3 linked regions of the Macaca fascicularis genome follow. The protein of the gene in region 1 binds, or shares a complex with, the protein of each later gene. Links are inferred from orthologs where the notes say so. Each region holds a gene or a part of one and is shown on either strand. Other genes may lie near its edges.

The links. The genes of interacting proteins can lie anywhere in the genome.
Region 2: the proteins of NRIP1 (region 1) and ESRRG are in contact, whole or in part, in a crystal structure (PDB 2GPP), measured with the Homo sapiens proteins. The link is inferred for Macaca fascicularis from reciprocal best matches to the Homo sapiens genes NRIP1 and ESRRG. Residues at the interface, in NP_001426204.1 of Homo sapiens: Ser378, Leu379, Leu380, Leu381, Leu383, Leu384, Lys385, Ser386, Gln387; in NP_001429.2 of Homo sapiens: Val277, Ile280, Lys284, Phe289, Leu294, Gln297, Met298, Leu301, Gln302, Lys448, Leu449, Glu452, Met453.
Region 3: the proteins of NRIP1 (region 1) and RORA are in contact, whole or in part, in a crystal structure (PDB 4S15), measured with the Homo sapiens proteins. The link is inferred for Macaca fascicularis from reciprocal best matches to the Homo sapiens genes NRIP1 and RORA. Residues at the interface, in NP_001426204.1 of Homo sapiens: Thr499, Leu500, Leu501, Gln502, Leu504, Leu505, His507; in NP_599023.1 of Homo sapiens: Gln332, Val335, Lys339, Phe344, Met345, Gln349, Gln352, Ile353, Leu356, Pro505, Leu506, Glu509, Leu510.

The regions. Positions count from the first base shown.
Region 1 is NC_088377.1:32,171,305-32,175,561, forward strand, and holds the start of NRIP1 (nuclear receptor-interacting protein 1), read left to right. Parts: upstream 1-1,405; 5' UTR 1,406-1,586; intron 1,587-2,094; exon of another isoform or gene 2,095-2,162; intron 2,163-4,257. UniProt on the Homo sapiens protein: Modulates transcriptional activation by steroid receptors such as NR3C1, NR3C2 and ESR1. Also modulates transcriptional repression by nuclear hormone receptors.
Region 2 is NC_088375.1:74,369,314-74,372,881, forward strand, and holds part of ESRRG (estrogen-related receptor gamma), read right to left. Parts: intron 764-3,568; coding exon 581-763; intron 1-580. UniProt on the Homo sapiens protein: Orphan receptor that acts as a transcription activator in the absence of bound ligand. Binds specifically to an estrogen response element and activates reporter genes controlled by estrogen response elements.
Region 3 is NC_088381.1:37,013,099-37,016,666, forward strand, and holds part of RORA (nuclear receptor ROR-alpha), read right to left. Parts: intron 2,973-3,568; coding exon 2,860-2,972; intron 507-2,859; coding exon 342-506; 3' UTR 1-341. UniProt on the Homo sapiens protein: Nuclear receptor that binds DNA as a monomer to ROR response elements (RORE) containing a single core motif half-site 5'-AGGTCA-3' preceded by a short A-T-rich sequence.

The DNA of each region.
Region 1 (4,257 bases):
TACCAATCAGAAGATGAGGAGAATGTTAGTGACAGCTGTGCTAGTAACAGTAAGCAAAACAGATTGTCAGTTAGTGAAGGGGGAGAGAGAGAAATTACAAAAGGCAGAGATAATCATTAAGTCATGGCATCCTACAGTCCTTTGGTGTAGCGACTGATAGCGTTTGGACCTCCTGGGAGAATCCCTAACACCTAGGAAGAATATAGAATAGGAACTGGATATATTTCCTGAATCCACTACAACCTACTACAACAATTACTTTTAATAAAATTGACACTGAATTGTCAAGAAAATGCTAAATGATGTTCAATAAACCGCTTAAGAGAAACATTTGCAATACATTGTAGAAAAATCTTTGTATTATGGTTAAAAATAATTTTCGTAAAAAAAGTTTGACCCCCACTAAGGGGCCAAGCTCCAATTACGCTGGTCATCATTGAAACGGTTTGCTTTGTATCAATTCTGAATAAATGATGCACTAAAAAACAGCAGCCTTTACTAATTTGCCTACAGCAGATTTTGAATTGTGGTATATGCAAATAATATGGTATTATATGAGGTTTAACTTTTTAAAATGGCAACAGATTGCATAGTTCAATCAGTAGGGTGATGTAAAATAATTGTTTTTAAAAGTGCCATTGTCACTAAGGAAAACATCGGTACCATGTGCCCGGCACTGTGCTAGGTGCTGAATTTATTAAGCATTAATTTGAAAAATTGCTTTCACTTTCAAGACTGTGACAGTATTCTAAAACTCTCATTCATATTTTTAAAGGTTAAGTGAAATTTGCAGTACACAATACAGCCATTACATAACAGGCATAGAATACAGTTTCATGACTTGGATAGTTGTTGTTTTTTAAGCGCATTAGCAACTCCATTTTCAAATGCTATCAAATTCTTCAGGATATAAAAACCTACATGTAAGAATGGAGTGCCTCATCGGCTCATTTGTCTTATGTAATAAGTGTTTTAACACAGTCATGCCATTTCAGAATTTCGGGTGAGACTAAGCTATACTTTAGCTTTTTTGTGTCAAGCAAAAACAATTTCAGCAACAACATTGGTTTCCCCTGGTAATTTTTTTCATGGCGAATTACTAAATGCTGGATGCTCAAGTCAAAAAGAAACCTGACATCTGGGGAGGTGTTGAGGGGGTGTTAATAGTTCTAGGGAGATGTTTGGGGAGCGCTGAGGATACGATTTTTAAAACAGCAAATACACGGATAAGGGGAAATTATGGTTTCGTATGACTCTCTCCTCCCTCCACTTTCTCGTTTCAGCAGTCTGTAGCCCCCCCAATTTAGAGGCGGGTTCAGCGAGATTAGGCTGCAGGAAACCAAGAGGCTCCACCGCGCTGCCGCCCCGGCCTCGTGATGTAATTGTTATTTCTTATTCGGAGACTGAACCGAGGAGAGCTGCTGAAGAAGTAGCAGCTCTGCTCCTTTTGCCTTGTCTGGTTCCCGGGGATGATGTAGATTGGCTGACAGACTCCGCTGGAGACTTCGCAGTGACAAAGCAGCCGAGGATTAACCCTGCTCCTGGGTCCTACGTCTGTCCAGGGAGCTGAGCGGGGCGCTCCTCAGGTCTCCTTCCTAGTTTTCCTCCCGGAGTCGCTCCACATGAGGGCTGGGTGCCTACTACGTGCTGGGCGTGGGGTCAAAGTGACCCAGAGTTCGCGCCCGCGCCCCCCACGATTAAAGCAGGACACACAGATTACAAGGAGATAGAAATTGGGTGGGGGGTGAAAGGGGGCCCAGGGAGCGCGTGTTGTGGGGTGAAGGGGAGGAGGTAGACTTTTAAGGCGCCAGCACCCAGGCGGGGACCCTGGGGCGTCTGGGGTGCCCCGGTCCCCAGGCTCTGCCCAAACGGGAGCATTCGGCCTGGGTCCCGAGAGCGCTTCCCCGGGTTCCCAGGAGGAGCTGTCCAGGCGCCTGCAGCGGTCGCGGGCGGCTGGACAGAGCTGGGAGCCCGGAGGACGGCCAGGGCGCGCCGAGCAGCCCCTCTCTTGGGGACGCGGTCCTTTCGCTGCCTCCGGGCCCTGCAGCCCCGTCTGAGCCACCCGGAAAGCAGGCGAGGAGGAAATCCACGAACCATAGGGGGCTCCGCAGCTACCGCGAGCGGCCCGGACCCGCACGGCTTCCTCCTGACCGGCTGACAATGGGAGGGAGGGGGAGAAAAGGGTTAAGAAACTTGGCTGAAGAGCTGAATGGCGTGGGGCGGCGAGGGGAGGGACTGGGCCGCGGCGGACTCGGCGGCGGAGGGAGGAGCGCGGCTGCGGGCGGGCGGGCGGCGAGCGAGGCGCTCAAAGTCAGCCTCGCAGACATTGCAGCAGAGCCCCGAACTCGGGAGGCGGCGGCGGAGGAGGCGGCGGCGAGGCGCAGGGACGATCCGGCCCCACGCCCGCCCGCCACCCGCGCGCGCCCGTCCGCCCGTGGCCTCGCGTCCGCCGCTGCGCCGGGAGCGCCGCTGGTCGGAGGGAAGAGCTCGCCGGGGTGCCGGGCCAGGACGGGGCGGCAGGCGCCTTCGCGGACCGAGCCTGACGGAGCCGGAGGCTGGGAGCCGCGGCGGCCTGGGGTGAGTGACGGCCGCGGCCAGGGCGCCCAGAGTAGCGGCCGCCGGCGCCGCCGGAAACGGCCCCGGAGCGCGGCCCGCGTCGGCGCTGGCTTGGCGGGCAGGGCCGCGGGGGCGTCGGGGCGGCGGGGGCAGCGCGGCCGGCCGCGGGCGCGCACGGGGCGGCGTGGAGGGCGCGTTTCCGGGGAAATCCTGCCTCTGCTGCCTGGTTCGAGTCTCCCCGGGTTCTCGCGGGGGGCCGGGGCGGCGGGCCGGCAAGTTGTGGAGTGGCCCCGGGTCGGCCCGCCCGTCCGTGCCAGTTCTGGGCAAGGGGGCGGCCGTCGCGTGGCCCCTGCGCGGGGTCGGACACTGGAGCTCGGGGGCCGGGTCGGGGTTGCCCCTCGCTCGCCTGCCCTCTTGGTCGCGAACCTCGGGCACCGCTCGCTGCGCCGCTCTCGATCCTGCTGTCCAGCCGGATCCTGGGCGGCGCCTTTCGCCTGGGTGCCTGCCTGCTCCGTGCTTGCTGGATACCCGGCTGGGAAAGTGAATAGGAAAACGGACAGCTCGCCCGGCCCCCAACGGACCCCAGGCCCGCTCTGCCCGCACTCGCCGTCCCCCCCGGATGGCGTGGCTCACGGACCCGAGGCCTCAGCCATCATTTTACCAGGAGCCAGGGGCCGGCCCCCATTTAGGGTGAGCCCCGTGGAAGTCCGGGAGGCTGCCCTTTCTCCCTTCTGCTGTCCCCACCTTACTACTATTGCATATTGTTTTATGAAGGTTTTCGTGGACGTATTCTGCAGACCCTCACATCCCTTCCAAAGTAGTTTCCCAATTTTAATCAGGAGTTGGTGTTCAGTCTGAAGGAACAAAGGAACCAACTGTGTCTTAGAGGCGGACAGGCTGGGAGTCTGTGACACATGTTGATCTCTGAAGCATTCCAGGAGTTTCTACCTTTTATCACGTCAGTAATTGGCTGCTGAAGGTAGTAAAAGAAGTACGGAATGATAAGCACTTTTGCTTTTTAAAAATATTTTTTAATGGCACATTTTACTTTGGGGGAAAGAAGACGTTCTTAGGCACAAGGATTTTTAAAAACTCGGCCGGTGGAACTGAGGTGGAGTTTGTCTCTGGTATTGTAAATGATTACATGTGGGATTGTGAAGGAAATTGTGTCGTTAGAGGAAGAGAAGCCATCTGTAGGTGTCCGTAGTAAAAAATGGTTGTCGGATTATAGGTGATCAATGCTCTTTCTGTTTCTTGGGAAAATTTGTGAAGCAAGGGGCTTCGGTAATTCATTCTTTAAAGTTATGAATTGCATTGAATGCTTATTAGTGAATCATAGGTTTAGTAAGTGGGTGGCATTATTCAATGTTTAATCATCAGTTTTCCACCTTTGTGGAAGAGATAGTGAGATAATAGACTTTTTAAACAAATGGTGTTTCATCTGCTTAGCCCGTAAGTGTCGGTTGCCGCCTGGTGTATGTTGAAATGTTTTCACCTTCGAAGTAAGTGAATTGCTCTGCTTTTGCCCAGCAGTTTGGTAATGTCGATAGGGTTTATTTGGTTCAGGGGAGCGCTGGCTTCATCGCCTATAGTAACTTTTTTTCTGCCTGGGCATAGTTCCTAGAGACAAAGAAGGAGAATCAATTAGTGGAACAGCTACTGCCCTGCAGGTTACAGGATTGGTTGCTCTAGTCTGTGTCA
Region 2 (3,568 bases), on another chromosome or scaffold:
TGGGTCAAGAAAAAAGAAGAGAAATATTTTTAAATGCTAACTTTAAATTACCATATAGGAAAAGTTACCATGTCCAATTAATATTTATTTTCACAATTTGTCTGTAAAGTTAAGATAAATATCTGATTGTAAACCAAAGCAAAGCTTGTGAATATGGCTAGCAATAGAATATAACTAGCCACTATGAACAAAACTAGTGATTCTTAGTTGGGAAAATAGTACATTAGGCTATCGCTGACAAAAACATTTTTTAAAGTGAAAAGAAAAAGCAGAAGTATTTGCTAGGAAAAAGGTAGGAATTTTGACAAAGCATAAAGAAATATTTTAAATTTATATTCTCATTAGCTTACACTGGCAGTAGTACCTGTACATATGAAAAACTAACAAGAACTCAAGGTGGTGCCAATATAAAAAATATAAAATCGAAGGGATTCTACTAGGATATGCAAAGCTCTAAATTATGATTAAAAATAAACGTAAAGGTTTTTTTAAGTCCAAATGAGAAAACTTTGAATTTGCCCAAATATATATGCAACCTTTTCTTTTCTTTTTTTTTTTTTTTTTGTTTCAGAAAATGTACCTGGAATATGCTTCGCCCATCCAATGATAACCACCAACTCTCGGTCGGCCAAGTCACACAGTGTAGTGAGGGCTTTGATGTCACTGTCGGGGACAGTAGGGTCAGGCATGGCATAGATCTTCTCCGGTTCAGCCACCAACAAATGTGAGACAATCTTGTTATCTGCAGGATCAGACCAGAGCACTACAAGATCACTAGTAGTATCATCCCTCTTTTATAAACCTTAGAGTATTTTGTGTTTTGAAAAACAACCCAAATACCCTACAATAAACTCTAAATATTCCAATTATGGCTCAATAGGTATATATTAAACAGTGTGCAGGAAAACTCATAGCAAGACATATGCCACCGCAGTCATGATAGAATGTAGTCTTTCTTTTTTTTTTTTTTTTTCTTCTTTGCTCTACCTGCTTTTGCTGGAATGAAACGTCTGTCCTGTAGTGAAAATTTTTATAGCAAACAGATAAGACAAGTTAGATGCTTTCTGGGTTTGTGCTTTGGTTCTTAAGTGGGATTTGGTGAAATAGATTAAATGGTATACAACAGCTTAAAATAAAACCCCCAGTAAACCATTGAAATATAGATCATAACACAGGAGGCAAAGAACTACTAATGCCCACAGTCATAATGGGCATGAAAGTCATTAATTGTCTTAATTCCTTTAAAGAAGAGTAAAGGTCAGAGCCCTTCTGCCTTGGTGAATTACTGACTATATAACTCTATCTCCGTGGGATGCATTAAATAGGAATTTCTTTTTTTCTCCCCCTCCCCACACACCCAGCCAATCTTCCAAATACAGCTAATATGTTTCCATAAAAATACTCCTCCTTAAATGTTACAGTCATTTTCTCTTCTGTATGTCAAATTCTTTAATCCTCTATTTTCATCAGTTGTCCTTAGTCCATTCTCTGGTTCAGATTTATCTGTCTTAAATTTGTGATATATGTTTTAAAAATCCTTCAAAAAATAAACACTAGAGACAAATGGAAAGCATCACATCAAATGTGTTTTATTGCTCAGGGGCATGTGAGAGTTTATGGAAGGGGCTGTAAAGTCGTGGTAACAGAATGATTTTTCTTGTTGGCCCTGTTTTCAATTTCTATATGTAGCTTAAGATTTTATACTTTCTCCTAAGTGAGGAGAAACAAACGGGTAAGAATAAACCCACATATTTAAATGTTCTATGTACTATTACTGTAGAAAACCAAGACTTTAAATGAGGTTCTTGTGAACACAGCCAAAGTTCCCAATGTGTTTACCAGACTATTTGCCTCTAAGTTTTTAACTTTTTTAACCCAATATAAAAAGACTTCACGTAACTTAGAATTAAATATAGCATTCTTTTTATCTCCTTTCGTGAAAGATTGAGGTTTGTCCAAGCTATAATTAGCACTTTTTCCAACAAAATATTTAAACATTTATGAATATGGCTCACATATTAATTAAGCTTATTTCAAATAGACAACAGATAATATTCAATCATCATCAAATTGAGTAGGCAGATTTGGGAGGAAATATTCCCAAATACTATGTAGACTAGAAAAGAATTAAAAAATTAAATAGAGATTAATTTTTTTTAATTCTTAATTTGGATTTTTGTTTGTATATGCTACAGAAACAACACCCTGTATTTTTAGTTATGCTTGGAAAAGTTTCAACTTTCATTGCTCTGACAATGCAACAAAACCTGTCAGCAACCACTAAATTCTCAGGATTAGAAGAAAATACAATAGTAAAGAGCATAAAAATATATCCAAAGGTAATCATGACTCTAGTTTTTCTTAGTACAGGGAACATAGCACTCGCTTTATCCAAGTCAATGGATACTTGACATGAGAGGTCAGAGAAATTTGGTTGAAGCTTAGAAATTCCCATCATTCAGAAAATGGAATAGCCAGCAGCACTGTTTCTAGGTAAATCTTATTTAATGTTTCCCTAATTAGAATCAATAGAACCCAATTTTCATTCTCGGGCCTTTGTAGTACACAATCAGTCAGGGTCCAGAAATCTCCCCAGCCACTTTCTCAGCAAAGCTCAGGCACAGTCTCTTGACACTTATCTGACAGGATCTGAAAATTAAGTTTTATAAATGTTTGTTACAAAAACACACTAATTGGATGGACTAAGGAAAATTAACACAGAGGCCTTTAGATAATGAGTAATGATTTATTAGGAGTCCTCTTTATCTCAGACAAATGGAGCTCACTGAAATTGCTGTAATCTTCTTAAAGGTACTTGACAAGCCACTTCCCAATTTCTCAGGTTTACGAAGAAAACCATAGATGTTTCTCTATCACTTCAACTTACACATGGGCTGGTGCTCATTTTTCTTTCAGTAGAGGCAATTATCAATGGTTTCAGTCAATGTTTGTATAAAATAAATGAGAAGCAGGCAGTCTGTATATTAGTGAATTCAGGAAAACTAAACCTCTAATGAAATTAAGCATTAGTGTTTATTGCATTTTATTGTATTATCAGAGTTTTTTATTATAATGTGCAAAATCTGCTTAATGTAGTCCTCGATTGTATTTGCAGAATGCCAAACAGCTTATGCAGGCTGAGGAGAAGATGCCAGATTGGACAATTGAAGGTATAATCAACATAATGTTTTTTGGAAAGGCAAAAGGAAACTATGCCATATGTTCACTTAAGCTTTAATTTTATGTAAAACTGGTTGTTTTTCCTTTGACATAGCTAAAATGTCCTTTCATTTACAGTTCAGGGTCTGTTTTATTTATTTAACATATTCCCATATGCTCACGCATGTATGATGCACAGCAGTGACCCCTCCTGGAGAATCTGAATTAGAAGTGGACACCTTTGCTTCCCTTGAAGGCAGATCAAAAATTACCCATGTCTTTCCTAGAACTGCTACAGATGCATTTTCTTCTGGTAAGTGCTGGTTGTGTCTTCTTAGACAAATACAGCTAAATTTGAAAACTGTTTCCACCAAAGCACTCCTCCGTGCCCAGTAGGATCCCTATTCAT
Region 3 (3,568 bases), on another chromosome or scaffold:
ACTCTGTAGAAAGTCTGTGGGCAGTGAGCTACAAGAAAAGGAAATCCTCCAACTTTAGTACCCTCCTTCTGTTGTAAACAGAGGTCAACGATCAAGAAGTCAAGACAGAAAAAGGGTCCATATCTGTAGGCATAATGGAAATCATATGCATGAGAAAAACAAGTTCAACTTTTATTTGTTTTCATTGTTTCCCCTCCTTTGCCTGACCCCGATCACCAAAAGATGTGCAGTGTGTGGCGCTCCAGGTCTGTGCAGGGCCATATAAAGTGTCTCGGTTAATTTTTTTGTTTGTTTTTCATGTTTGTACTTCAGACATTCTAGAAGTGCTTAGGTGATAACATTTACCCATCAATTTGCATTGCTGGCTCAAATTCTGAAGTGAACAACTCCTTGTATAATGGAGGAAAATGAAGTCGCACAATGTCTGGGTATATTGCTTTAAATGCCATTAGCTTTTCTGTATGTCGTCCACATAAGGCTCTTAATGTAGACACCTTGCATATTAACTGTAAGTGGAAGAAAGGACACACTGTCAGGCAAGAACAGGTATAAAAATCAGAGATCAGGGAATCTGAATGATCTTTATGACATTGTTTATAATGGTGAAACACCCTTAAAGCAACTTAAACATCTTGTAGCAGAGGATTGGTAAAAATAAATGATGGCTGGGCGCGGTGGCTCACGCCTGTAATTCTAGCATTTTTGGAGGCTGAGGCAGGTGGATTGCCTGAGCTCAGGAGTTCGAGACTAGCCTGGGCAACACGGCAAAACTCCGTCTCTACTGAAAAAAAAATTAGCCAGGCATGGCAGTGTGCGCCTGTAATCCCAGCTACTCAGGAGGCTGAGGCAGGAGAATTGCTAGAACCTGGGAGGTAGAAGTTTCAGTGAGCCAAGATCGCGCCACTGCACTCCAGCTTGGGTGACAGAGTGAGACTCTGTCTCTTAAATAAATAAATAAATAAATAAATAAATGATAATATAGTCATGTCATAGAATGCCAACTATACATTAAATATAATTTTCAAGATGAATAATTTAATAACTAGAAAAGATGTTCATAAGCAAAAGTTGGCACAGCTTGTCAGCGGCAGACTCGTACAGAACCCAAGGCTCTTGACTTCTCCTTCTACTCCAAGATGCCTTCTCTCTACTTCCTGGAACCCTGCCCTCTACCACTGTGCAAAAAGAAGATGTCTGGTGATAGAGAAGTGGGTGAGGGGCAGTGGTGGGTGGGTAGTGAGGGCACTGCAACCAGAGATGATGGCATACTCTACACATTTTATGCAGAACTGGCACTAGTCAACTCCGATAACTACAAGTTTCTTTTCGATAAGAAGTTTTGCCTGTAATAAAGCAATGCTGGGTCTGAGCAAAATAATCGAGTCAGAAGACCTGGATGGAGGGCCCAGCATTGACCATTTATCAGCTAAGGATAATGACACAATTTGCAAAATTACTTTCAGATTCCACAGCACCTCACAAAGGCAAAATGCTTATTATTTTAACCCAGAATAACCTTCTCTAGGAAATGTTTTCACCAGATCTTGTCTACATGTTAAGTGCTGTTTATAATCAGAGATCATAATGGTACCGTTGCATTTGGGCAAAAAGATGGAGAAGAGAGTGAAGCTCCTGACAGGGCTCTTCCCTTCCACTTCTCATTCCTGCCCCATGTCCTCATTTAACAGGTGCAAAATCAAAAGCAAAACAGCAATTAATCCCCAGTTACCCTTTTCTGACCTAACAGGTGCGAAATCAAAAGCAAAAACAGCAATTAACCCCCAGTTATCCCTTTCTGATCTAACATAACTATAAAGGAGAAAAAAAAAAGCAAACAAATAAACAAGAAAACAAAACCAAAAACCTCTCACATCATCTCACACAATAAAATACATAAAATAAGAAAGAACAGGGCTGATTTTTCTAAGACCAAATACGTACTACTAGCAGTGGCACTGATGGATATTAGCACATTTAAAAAAATGGCATTACAATCATATTTTTATTGTGAAAGATAATGATAGGTAAAAATGCAACCTTATGCTTTGAATACAGAGTAGTGATGGGAAATTGACAAAAATGCAAAAGTCATTTACTGTTGATGACTAATGAATTTAATGGACGTGGAACTAATATTAGTATATATGGTCATTCTGATTAAGTCTTTTAGTCCTTTATAACTTCTTTCTAAATTCAAAGATTATAGGCTGGGCACAGTGGTTCACTCCTATAATCTCAGCTCTATGGGAGGTGGAGGAGGGAAGACTGCTTGAGGCCAGGAGTTCGAGACCAGCCTGGGCAACATAGCGAGATACATAGCGAGATACCCATTTCTACAAAAAATAATAAATAAATTAACCAAGTGTGGTAGCACATACGCTTGTAGTCTCAACTACTCAGGAGACTGAGACAGAAGGATCTTTTGAGCCCAGAAGTTCAGGGTTGCATAGAGCTATGATTGTGCCACTTCACTCCTGCCTGGGAGACAGAGTGAGACCCTATCTCTAAAAAATAAATAAATTCAAAGATTACTTTTCTAATTTATGTCAGTGCAGAATATTAACTCTGCTTTATGCCCAACTTTGATGGAAGAGAATTTCTAGAATGTAACCTTTTTTCCTATATTGCCTTATTGTTGCAGGACACTTTGTAATCAATGATAATAAGTATAATTTAGACTGAATAATGAGTTTTGGCTCAACAGAATTTTACTGAAATGGAAATTTATTTCTTTTTGGTAGCCTGTTGCTTTCTGATACTTTTGGGAATTGGTCGTATGACTTACATGACCATACTGGCAGCATGATTTGTGCCAAGGGATAGTTCAGGCCATGCCAACCAGAAGCCTTCGGCACTCACCTTTGTTAGTATTCCATCTTCTCGGTGATTCTTCTGTAGGACGTGTTGAAGAGCTAGCTGAATTTTCTGTTGCAGTTTTTCAATTTTTACCTTTTCTTGCAGCCATGAGCGATCTAAACATAAAAAAATGATATTCTTTAGCATTCCTCCGACATGGTGTCAAGATCCCCCTTCTCTGGATGCTTTTGATACAGATAATTATATCACAATGAATATTTAGAGACTCAGAGGTCAGTTTCACTCCTCTTTCAAAATTTCTCCTAATGGAATGAAAAGTGATCTAAGGAAGTTACAAAACAGGGTGTTAAACCTTTCCATTTTACCAATACATAAAGGAAGGATCCTTCCCTTCCAAAGGATAAACAATTAAATATGAGGCCATACTCATAAGAATGCAAATGAAACTATCATGGCCCCTCGGGACGTTCTAATAATTATACTTCGGACTGAAATATTCATTATCAATCCTGCTAGCTTTTCTGAAAAATACGAAAGTTTTCTAGTAATCTTTGTCAACTAAAATTGTCAATAGAATTCCAAGTGACAGGCCGGGCACGGTGGCTCTCGCCTGTAATCCCAGCACTTTGGGAGGCCGAAACGGGCGGATCACAAGGTCAGGAGATCGAGACCGTCCTGGCTAACACTGTGAAACCCCATCTCTACTAAAAATACAAAAATTAGCCTGGCATGGTGGCGGGCGCCTGTAGTC